Arabidopsis thaliana: one gene and its partners. Each later gene encodes a partner of the first gene's protein in a complex. Each region holds a gene or a part of one and is shown on either strand. Other genes may lie near its edges. The genes, in order: LSM6A, LSM3A and LSM1B.

The links.
Region 2: LSM6A (region 1) and LSM3A share a complex: the UniProt entries of both Arabidopsis thaliana proteins name them as parts of the heptameric LSM1-LSM7 complex.
Region 3: LSM6A (region 1) and LSM1B share a complex: the UniProt entries of both Arabidopsis thaliana proteins name them as parts of the heptameric LSM1-LSM7 complex.

What each region holds. Positions count from the first base shown.
Region 1 is NC_003074.8:22,094,316-22,098,068, reverse strand, and holds LSM6A (Small nuclear ribonucleoprotein family protein), read right to left. Parts: upstream 1,601-3,753; 5' UTR 1,473-1,600; exon of another isoform or gene 1,254-1,472; 5' UTR 1,229-1,253; coding exon 1,114-1,228; intron 649-1,113; coding exon 535-648; intron 450-534; coding exon 403-449; 3' UTR 103-402; downstream 1-102. Other genes in the region: AT3G59800 (stress response protein), read left to right, coding at 1,895-1,981, 2,385-2,486, 2,917-3,052, 3,144-3,190, 3,284-3,472. UniProt on the Arabidopsis thaliana protein: Component of LSM protein complexes, which are involved in RNA processing. Component of the cytoplasmic LSM1-LSM7 complex which is involved in mRNA degradation by promoting decapping and leading to accurate 5'-3' mRNA decay.
Region 2 is NC_003070.9:7,419,338-7,423,090, reverse strand, and holds LSM3A (Small nuclear ribonucleoprotein family protein), read left to right. Parts: upstream 1-2,133; 5' UTR 2,134-2,234; coding exon 2,235-2,351; intron 2,352-2,603; coding exon 2,604-2,699; intron 2,700-3,021; coding exon 3,022-3,102; 3' UTR 3,103-3,427; downstream 3,428-3,753. Other genes in the region: AT1G21200 (sequence-specific DNA binding transcription factor), read right to left, coding at 277-1,608; SEC5B (Exocyst complex component SEC5), read right to left, coding at 3,680-3,753. UniProt on the Arabidopsis thaliana protein: Component of LSM protein complexes, which are involved in RNA processing. Component of the cytoplasmic LSM1-LSM7 complex which is involved in mRNA degradation by promoting decapping and leading to accurate 5'-3' mRNA decay.
Region 3 is NC_003074.8:4,665,607-4,669,359, reverse strand, and holds LSM1B (Small nuclear ribonucleoprotein family protein), read right to left. Parts: upstream 2,053-3,753; 5' UTR 1,869-2,052; exon of another isoform or gene 1,759-1,868; 5' UTR 1,644-1,758; coding exon 1,583-1,643; intron 1,031-1,582; exon of another isoform or gene 1,011-1,030; coding exon of another isoform or gene 980-1,010; coding exon 911-979; intron 820-910; coding exon 704-819; intron 619-703; coding exon 556-618; intron 449-555; coding exon 371-448; 3' UTR 166-370; downstream 1-165. Other genes in the region: AT3G14075 (Mono-/di-acylglycerol lipase, N-terminal;Lipase, class 3), read left to right, coding at 3,022-3,318, 3,424-3,621, 3,705-3,753. UniProt on the Arabidopsis thaliana protein: Component of the cytoplasmic LSM1-LSM7 complex which is involved in mRNA degradation by promoting decapping and leading to accurate 5'-3' mRNA decay.

The DNA of each region.
Region 1 (3,753 bases):
ATTCAAATGTGTCGATGGCTATGAATATGATAATCTGATGATTGACTGGTTATACTAGTTTGACATGTGTGTTTCCAGTGATCCCTAAATGACATAATTCGATTACTAAACTTTAATGATCTTCCTCGTTTCGATCTGTTGGTCACCCAAACTCAATTTTGTTTGCTTGTATGATTGTATCAAGCCATAAATTAATAATTTTTCTTCTTTATCTGGGGTCACATGGAAGAGTATCATATTACTAAGAAAAAAGTGATGTCTGTATCCCAAAAATCTACTGAAGAACATAGGATGACAATCTTGGTACATGTCTACTACTCTTTTAATATGAGGTAGAAGAAGACAACAAAAATGGCAGCCATAACATGACCACTGTTGTTGTTGTTGATGATCATGATGGGCCTAGGCTCCGTCTGCTACAGTCATGTTTACTGTACTGATGTAAAGAACTGCATCCAAAGAAACCACACTTAAAAAGAAAGATATACAAAGAAGAAGATTGAGAGAAGGATGAGTGTGAGAGATTTTAGTTACCGTTGTTTCCACGGATAAAGGCGTCACCATATTTGTTCTTGAGCTGCCCGTTTACATACTCCTCCGTCTGCTCCATTGCTATGTTCATATATCCATCAAGACAAGTAAGAGTGCCTGTGAAAAGAGTAATAAAAACTTGATCAAGAACTCAACATTAAGCTTGAACAGAACATAGACAAAACTGACTCGGGCACGAAAGGAAAGAAGTCAACAAGAATGATATAAGTAGCCTTGATAATGAGAGAAACTGACTTAAATATTCAAATATCTCAGTCAACTATTGTAACCTTATTGCAGGCAGAAAGGAACATGTTCTTAAGAAAACCATTGAACAATGTTCACAAGGAAACCTTAGAAAATGTAAGAAAAGCTTCACATATTGACTTTAAAAGAATCATTTAAAAGCTGAAGACATAACATGATAATTAAGTTACTTAAGTGGGCTTAATACAAGCAACTCTTTAATTCCCTTAACATAGACAAAAGAACTAGTCCTAAGTCAAAGCTTCTAACCTAAAGTGCAGCAGAGATAGAGAACTTGCAAAACACATAAGAACATCTAACGAGAGAGAGAGGCACCTCGATAATCAACACCAGAATTGAGCTTGACAACAACGGGTCTCCCACGGATGGATTTGAGGAAATCTGCAGGTGTCTTTGTCGTTCCAGAAACTTTCTCTTCAACTCCACTCATCTTTTAAGCTCGATCCTTTACGTAACTGCAGAAACAATTGAGATCTGAAATCAGTTTGGTCGCTCTTCGAACTACAAAAACTCAAAAGGTAAAAACCATTCAGAGTCAATCTCTCGAATCACAAAAAGACTCCGAAACCTAAAAACCTAAACCTTCAACCCAATAGAAGCGAATTCGATTGAAAATGTAAAGAGAAATCGAAACTTTAACAAGGATTAAAGGAACTGAAAGAAGAACTCCTTACCTGAGACCTACTCGAGTACGAGACACAGAGAGAAAGAGAGAGCGAAGAAATAACGAATCGGTCCTAAGGGCTTTTATTATTTATTTCCAAAACTATATACTATATGATTATTGTTATTTCGATTCGATCGAGTTTTCATATTAAAACTAATAATAATTGAACATTAGTCCTTATAGATTTTATTATTTTACTTTGGAGGGTGAAATTAAATCTCCAGTGCGTTTCGGTTCGACCTCACAGTTTCTTCTGTTCTCGTCTCTCTCTCGTTTGCTTTCTCTACAGATCCCTAAATCCTCTCCCTTTGGACCGTTAATCCCCCAAACCCTAGATTTTACAAACAATTCCTCTCAATCTCTCTAAATTCTCTTTCTCCTGCAAGGAATTTGCGGACTGTTTCTTGTGGGGTAAATCTTCTATTAGCTATGGGGAAGAATCAAGCTTACAAGGCTATGCAGAGATCTAGGGTTGGTTCCAGCTCCGCCCAGCCGGATGAGGTTGAAGACGGAATGGTTTGTACCTTTTCATACTCTCATCTTCTTCATTGCAAATTGATTCTGTTTTTTTTTACTTCTCCAAACAAAATTCCAATTTGGTTGATTTACTTATGGTTTTGTTGATCTTTTGTGTTGTTGGGTTATCGAGCTGCATTTAGAATTAAGCCTACAAGAGATCCTTTATGAGTCCCAATTTTGGGGGAAGAACTTGTATCTAATACCTGCTAGGTCTTGTAGACGATATCAAGTCCATGTTTAAATGTGATTTCGTAAAAGTGTAGCATCAGAGTTTGTGTTACAGTGATTCAAGAGTCTTTTTATTGTTGTTGTAAGCTGTGAACACAAAGAAGCATTTGGATTAGTCAAACTTTGATATTTTGCATTGGTACCGGAACATTTCTGATGAGGATTGTCTCAGGTGGATGGTTCATTTCATACACCAGAGTGGCATGCGGCTCGTTTGGCTAGCCTCAAGACTACACATACTATTACCTGGGAAGAGTATAAGCAGAAGCAAAAGGTAATCTTTTTGCCTTTTTAATACTTAAGTTCTTCTGTATGTTGTATGGAACGGTGTTCCTTGTTATAATGCCATAGAAGATAATCAATTGACCATTGATGATTTAGTGTTCATAAGATTGCTATTATTGTCGTCAATTTAGAAGCTTTATTCCAACATATCATTTTCTTTTCCTCTGCTGTTTATCATCTTCAGCCACAGATACGCAGTCTTTGTGTGTTTATATAAAAATGAGTGTGTCTTCCTTCTACATTACATCTATCCCTATCTCGCGGTTTTCAAGTAACTCTAGTCATGCTCATTTTTTAAACATTTTTATTATCTGCAATATCAGTTTTTTACTACTACTTGCAGCAGTCTCTCTGTATTGTGAGTATGGAACATTAGGAAATGTTTAACATTATATCTTTCTTTCGTGTAACATGTGTAGGAAGAAGAATTGAAAAAGGGAGAACTTGAAGCAGATACCGATAAACTGATGCGTGAGTATAGAGCTCAGCTGGATGCAGAAAGGTCGTTGAAACTCTCCAAAGGAAGGAACTATTCTAGTGATAAGTCACGAAAAGGTAAACATAATCCACTTAACTTAACATGACATCTAAACCTTCTTTCTGAGGACGTTATTAACTGGTCGCCAATGGTTCAATGACCTCGCAGATAAGAAAGACAGAGATTCAAAGAAGAAGAAAAGCAAAAAGAGAAAGGTGCCTTCTAAAAGTTTAGCTTATATCAGATAGTGTGAGGTTTTCTAGCTTATGCTAACATGAACCATGATCGGTTGTGTTATGAATTTGCAGCATTATTCGTCCTCAGAGTCGTCATCTAGCAGTGATGAAGATGAATCTAGAAGATCAAGATCAAGTTCGAAAAGATCAAAGAAGGAGAAGAAGCACAAGTCCAGCAGAGACAAACACTCTAGCAAAAGTAAACACGAAACCGATGGCCCTGTACCACTCTCTAGATTCTTTGGCAATTTGAAGAATTGACAAAAGCAAAACTGCAAATGAACTATTACAAAGAGTAAGATTGTCTTCAATCAAAATACTCAAAGTAGGATATGATTGCTTTCTTCCTTGTTGCAATGTTATATTTTTGACAATAGCTCATGTATTAATATTTGTTGGATTGAAAGTCGCAATGATGCCCACAGAATCATGGTTTTTCAGTTTATTTGCTTAAAAATGAAATTTGACAACATCAAAAGGGAATCTAGCAGAAAATCTTAGCACAACAAAATTTCTGAGAGATGAAAAAATTAAAGGAAATG
Region 2 (3,753 bases), on another chromosome or scaffold:
ATTGGATTAAGATGTCGAAAACAATACAGCAGAACAATGAAAATAACCTTAACCAGTTGAGTACTGAGAAGTAGAGTTAAAACAAACCTTAGAGAGCTGCTTATATTAACCACTCCTTTCTCACTACATTCACAAACTTCATCACTGATGCAACCACAAAGATCTCTCACATCAAAGTCTCGAGATCATTCCAATCAAAGCAAGCTTACAAAAGCAGAAAATGAGACTTCATTTAGCAAAGCTATATACCAATCAAGAGAAGTGAAGCCAATTCCGTTATAATTCAACACCCAATTCCCTTTGTTTCAACTCCAATCCCATCCGATCATTCTCAAGTTTCATCCTTTCATTCTCCATTCTCATTCTCTCGAGTTCTTGATCCCTTTTCTTGCTAAACCTCTGCCACCTGAATCTCTGTTTCTCCAATTCCAGCAATTCAACTTGGATCTGAAGCTTCTGCTCTTCTAGCTGGAGAGTCCGCGACTCCATCCACTGCTTCTGCACCGAACCTGCTCTTCCACTCTCCGCCCCACCTTGATTCACATCAGCTTGAGAAAACGGTATTTGAGGTAAAGAGACTTTATTACACTCCAGAGAATTCACATGACTCGGATGATCTCCATCTTCATGGCTAAGGCTTGGTCTTATCTTCTTCAAAGGACCACCACCACCTCCATAATGATTTACCCTACAATCTCCATACGCATAATGTTGCTCCTCATACTCATCATGTTCATCACCATCACCATCATGATCCTCATCATCAAGATCCTCCATTTGATGTTTCCTAGAATCATCATTATCATGATCATCTCTGCTTCTAAGCGCCAACTGTAACGAACGCTGCAAAGCAAGGTCATGAGGCAAATGCAACCTATTCCCATTATGATACGAACACATCTCTTCATAAAAAAGATGTTTAGAACTCATAATCTTCCTAACATCATCCTTCTCTTTATCATTCAAGTAACCAATCGAATCCAAAAGCGCAGGATTCTCAACAACTTGACAAGATGTTCCTCTACCAAGCATATCATTAAGCTTCTTATACCGTTTATTCAAATCATTGAACTTATCCTCACATTGCTGCGGCGAAACATGATAACCTCTCTCAGCCATAACTTTAGAAACAGATTTCCACTTCCCTTTCTTCTGCAAAACAGCAAACTTTCTTCTACTACTACTATCTATACTCGAATCATCTCCTATATAAGAAACAGCAGTAATCAACAACTTCACCATCTTATCAGTCCATTTCACTCGTTGCCATGGAGATCCTTTAGTTGATCTATTAGCTTCATTATGAACACCATCACCACCTTCCTCTGTGAAACTTGGTTCATCATCATCACTCACTGAATTCTTCTCTCTTTCAGCTTTCTGTTGCTCAGACATAGACATGTTCTGATTCTGATGATGATCACAGGTTTGACCTGTAACCATAGTAAAGGGAAGACCTTCATGAAGTGGTCTAGAATTAGGATTGTGTCGATGCTGCTGATTCATGGAGTCTTGGTGATGAACTCTCATAGAACCTTGTAAATCAAATCCTCCATAAGATGAAGCTCCACTACGAACTACACCTCCTTGTGGAAAATTCCCATCCATTTTTGGATCAAATTTCTTCCTAATTCATCAGAGAAATCGAAGAGAAAACAGATCTCAAAAAGTCAAAACCTTTGTCAACAAAATTAGTACTGGATCTTAGGGGAATATTAAAGATCGAAACTTTAGGAGAGAATGAAGCAGAGAGGAATCGGGATGAAGAAAATAAAGCGGTAAATATATGAGAGATGAGTCAAAGGAAGTAAAACTCACAGAAAAAAGTTTGCTTTCGTCTTCTCCGGTCAGCTTCCTCAGGTTTCTCTTCTCTCTCTGTATATGACAAAAGGCTTTTTGATTAAAACAACCAATATAAAGATTATAGTAAATTTAGTGTAATGAAATGACCAATTGATACCTTGTGATTGGACTTAATATAGTTAAGTTCCACTAACCATGATTTATTTGCATTAGATGATTTATTATCTTCATAATACTTCGACGAAAAAAAAAAAAAGAGCTAACCATATTGGGCCGATATGAGAGCCCAAAAACATAGTAAAAGGCCGAATCGTAAGATGTTGGTTTGAAGTTTTTAGGGAACCAACGGTGGCGATTGCTTGAGCTCAGTCAGAGAGATATCGCCGAGAGCACTACAATTTCAAAACCCTCGGAGAAGTTATAATCAGAAAATGTCAGTCGAGGAAGACGCCACCGTTAGAGAGCCACTCGATCTGATTCGGTTGAGTATCGAAGAGAGGATCTATGTCAAGCTCCGATCTGACCGTGAACTCCGCGGCAAGCTTCACGTACGTTCTTAACCACTCGGATTCCAGAAACCAGTAACCAGATGTGATCTTTTTCGATTTTGAGCTCCTTTTTGAATTCCTTATTCGTTGAATTTAACACTAGTTTTTATTCTTTTCACAAATATCAAAATTTGGACCCATTTTGTTGAGTTTCAGTTTCGAAAGCCTCAGCGAGAGCTAATTGGCGTAGAAAACCTCATAATCTTGTTAAATTCTAAGACTCTCACTTTTGTTGTTGTTTTTGTGGTGTAGGCTTTTGATCAGCATTTGAATATGATTCTGGGTGATGTTGAAGAGGTTATTACGACTATAGAAATCGACGACGAGACATATGAAGAGATTGTTCGGGTATGTAATTCTCTTAGCTCAATAAGATTTATTAATCTATGTAGGCTTTAGTAGTAAGATAAACGTTTTTGGGTTCAAAATATTTCAGCTATCACAGTATCTATTGTCTATGTCTCTGTTTGAGTTTAAAGGAGAGCTTGATTCATGTAGAAGTTAATAGTGCTGGTTACATAGAGAGTGTTCATTACCAATATAGTAACTCTGTTTAGTTTCTCAAACTTGAATTTTGTTGTTTGCGCTCCAAATGTGATGTGCTAACTTCTCATTAGACTAGTGTAGAATCATATGTTCTTCTCCTGCTGATGTAACTTGCTTCTGTCAGACAACGAAGCGAACGGTACCGTTTCTATTCGTGAGAGGAGATGGAGTGATATTGGTGTCACCGCCTTTGAGGACGACCTAAATGTTCTTGTGTACTGGGATCGGAGTTAACAAATCTGGCGCTGAGTAAAAGCACTTTTTTCTGATTACTTGGCTTTTGAATTTGTAATTGTGTGGTATGTTTTTCTTTGTTGTCAAACATTGAAACCGAATGTAGCATTCGAATCTTGGTAATGGGTGCCTCGTTATAGTAGAATCAGTGTAACATACTTCGTATTGTGACTTTCTTACCGTTTACGATCGGATTTAGTTTCGTTTTCTGGTTTGGTGTAGTTTTCTCTAAAGATTTGTATACTTCCTCAAACTCATTGATTTCGAGCTCTATTATGAATAGTGATTGGTGACATATTTAGATGTGTGTAACCCTAGGAAAGACATTTTGATTAACCAAACCATCAAATTGATTCACAGTACAGGAGGCTGAAAACGCAAACAAGATTGATTTCATGAGAAAAGATTAATGTAATTGTAAGCATGTAAATTTACAGTAAAAAAAAGATTAGTGATGAAATTAAAAGTTTTGAGGTATCTATCGTAAGATATAACTTGTCATGATCACCAACACGCTTCGAGCATAGTAACAATGGAGAAGAGAAGTCTTATCTTCGTCTGGGTCTGGCTTGAACCGGAGAACCCATTGGTTGTGACTCTCTATAGTTTCTGCTTGGAGAAT
Region 3 (3,753 bases), about 17 Mb from region 1:
GTTGTTTGTGCCATATGTCTTCTATTTATAAAAGTCCTGATTGATCACAGAACCAATAAGTACCATGTAAATTTTGCAATGTGCGACGTCCTCTACTCATTTGCTCCATTTTTGTTCCGTTTGGTAGTAGCCATAGGCAAGCTCCTTGTTTAAAAGTTCCAAAATAGAGAAAGAAATTGCTTAACATTTTTTTCTTAAAAAGGTAAATAGATCCAAAGACAAAAGTACACAGATTTATTGTCATATTCATCCAAAATGAAACACAAGAATTGCGTCGATCCCCTAAGTCAACACACCAAAAAGGCTCATCATAAAACTTGCGAGCCAAAGCAGAGCATCAAGCCAATAATGAATGGGGATACAATCTGGTTTAATCAAAGTCAAGAAACTCCATTCTCTTCCTCATTGTTCCTCTCAGCTCACTCGCTTCCCTCTCCACCTTTTGTGCCTGCATCAACAGACAGATTCCCGAAAACCAAATCATCAGCACGCACACAGCATCACAAATGAATCAAATTTGGCTAATCAAAATGAACATGTTATGCGATGTCTTACCCTTTTAATCTCTGCCTCTGAGACGCGAATCATATGTGGAGGAAGCTCTTCTCTCTCCGTGTCCTAATACATAGTTTAAGGTCAAACTCAGTGAATTGGAAAACACGAGGTGACACAGCAAGAAAAGACAAACAAGGAGAAGTCTTACCAGCTCACCAATCAAAACAACATTCTCTCCACGGATTACATAGAGGCCTAAAGGAATGTCACAGTATTGTTCACCAACAATTACCCTCTCACACGCACCTTCTAGAACCGCATTGGCTGTGTATTTACAACGAACAAAAAAAAGTCAAATCTCTCCCGCTCATCAACAATATCGTAAATCTAGAAACATGGAAAGAAAAGTGAATACCGAATTGATCAAAGGAACGGAGTGTTCCCATTAGCTTTCTACCATCTCTAAGAAGCACAAGTAGTTTTCCTGCATCATCAAGAGCAGAGCCAACATACATAAGTAACTGATGCACATTGATTCATATCTAAAAAAGAAAACGGTACGCCAAATGAGATTGAGAACTAACTCATAGCCCAAAAACATCAGCAAAAGAAGATCATTGACTTTTAAACTCAAAGAACCAACATCAAAAAGCCGATAGTGAATTAAATTTCAACAAAGGTTAAAGTTTATACTTCGTAAGTTGAATAAAGAGTGAGCCAGCAACCTCAATCACATCTAATCTCTCACGCATGCTAAAATTTAGCTTGACAACAATAACTGATGAACAGTTAGATTTGACCCAATTAAAAAAAAACTAAAGCTTTGATTCAATAATCAATATCTTAATCAATGAATGTCTCTTTGAGACAATTCAACACCAAAATTGACAAGCTTTGGATACAGCCACAAAATAGTACAGCCTATATATCAATAAGAAGTCAAAATCAAACGTCAAAAAAACAGAGAATTGTTTGCAAAATTGAGCTCCCAAATGCGTACAGAGCCATCACGGCCAATTATTTTAACTACATGCATTCATACGGTTCAACAAATATGTGAAACAGAGAGAAAGAGAGACGGATTTACTATCGAGATAACTAGCGAGTGATGTTGAAAGATAAATTTCTTCAGGACCAGCCCACGACATCGCCACTGACTTTGAAATTGAAGAAAACTTTCGGTCTTTCTATAGAACACTACCGATGATAATAATGTTCGTCAGATTCCAGCTGAAGAGATAAGATTTGGCTATTGAACGCGAACTTTGACAGGAAAAAAAAAAAGTGAAGACGGAAAGAGAAATCTAAATTAGGGTTTTGACCAAAGGGTTTAAATTGATAAAGTGATTAAAAAAGATTGAGACTTTCGACACCTGATCGAAGACGGACACGGGTTCTTCAAAAAAATATAAAACCCAGATCCGATCGAACTTTGGCTGAGAAAATTTGTTTGTGGAAAATTCGAAGAGAAAACTAGCGAGCAAATCCGTCCACTGTCCCTTTTTTATTATTTTCAAGCAATGTCCACGATTTCTTAACTCGATAGATAAGACGTTGTACTTTAATACTTTAAGCACTTTCCAATTTAATGTTAAATTTCCTAATAATTATTGTGACTGAATGTTTCTTAAATAAATGAGACTAATCTTCCAAGCTAATAAAATATCTGTTTCGAATAAATTTTAATTTATGGACCAAAAAAGTCGATTTAACACTATTATTATTTACTGCTTGATTTATGTTAAAACGCTTTTATGGGTAAGTCATCCAATAATATATTCCCACGTAAGCATCAGATCTCGGCGGCGCGAAACTACGCGGCGTTCGCTTAGCACAAAAACGTAGCGCAGTTTATTTAAAGCAAAACAAAAAATTCTGTTTTCACACTTTTGCATTGCAGCATCTTGTAGCTAACAACATCATCGGAGAGAAAGCAGCTTCCCCTTCCCGGAGATATCGTACATAAGCTAAAGCAACCTTAACCTTCCTTCTCCACTGTAAAACCCTCAAATTAAGGTCACGATTTCGTCTTATTTTTCCAGGTTTGATTCACAAAGAACTTCGTGTTTTAACGATGCTATTCTTGGGGTAGGATTTAGGGTTTTGTTTCTATAGTTCACCGATCCTGTTCAATTTTAAGCTAAATCACATTCAATTTTATGATTTGCATCGGTTAAAAGACGCGATAGTTATCAGGAGTAGGGTTTGTTGTGGTATTCGAGAAGTTTCAGGAAAGTGAGAGTTTTCTATTAATGGCTTCTTTTTTTTGTATCCCGAATTCTTTGGGGTTAATTGGTGAAAAGAATGTTCTTTGTACGAAATTATATCCAATTTTCCAGCTTTACATGTTTTTGGAGATTTCTGGAATAAGTCTGAGATACTTAAGAACGCATCTGGAGATTGAAATTGTGGCATCCAATGTAGTTTCAATCGATTTTGTCTTTAAATTTTGTATTCTTATTAGATTGAGTTTCGTCTTGGATTGAGCGAATTTGTTTCATTGATGATTTTAGGGATAGATTGATCATGGCAACTGCAACTATGGCAACAGCAGCTGGAGCAGCTGCTCTTTTATATTACACGTTGAATCGGAAATTAATAGCTGGTCCATCTGACGTTGACGATGAGAATTCTGAAGCTTCTGCTTCTCGTCCTTCTTTGAGGATTGACCGTGTTTCGCATAGGCTTATTCAAGCTCCGGCAACTTGGTTGGAGACTATTTCTACTCTTTCTGAGACTCTTCGTTTTACTTACTCTGAGACTCTTGGGAAGTGGCCTATTGGTGATCTTGCGTTTGGGATCAATTTTCTCATCAAGAGGCAGGTATAACATCTCTTCATCGTTTTAACGGTCTTAAGTTCTGGATTTTTTTCTAATTATCTTGTGGTCAAAATTGAACTTTTTGTAATTGTGTACCTAAAACCGTAGGGACTTCTACATGTTGATCGTGTCTTTGGTGGTAAAGATAGTGTAGAACTTAGAGGATCAGAAGTAGCCACTGAACTCAAATATCTTTTGCACTTGTTGACATTGTGTTGGCATTTTTCCAAGAAGTCGTTTCCGTTTTTCTTAGAAGAGACCGGCTTTACAAAGGAAAATGTCCTTATTCATGAACCCAAAGCTGGGGTAAACTTTAACAACTCTCAACTCTTAGGCACTTTTTCAACATAGAAATTGAGAAGTTTAGTTTTGAATTTTGCACCATGTAGATATTGAAGCCAGCTTTTACGGTTCTTGTCGATCACAATACAAAATATT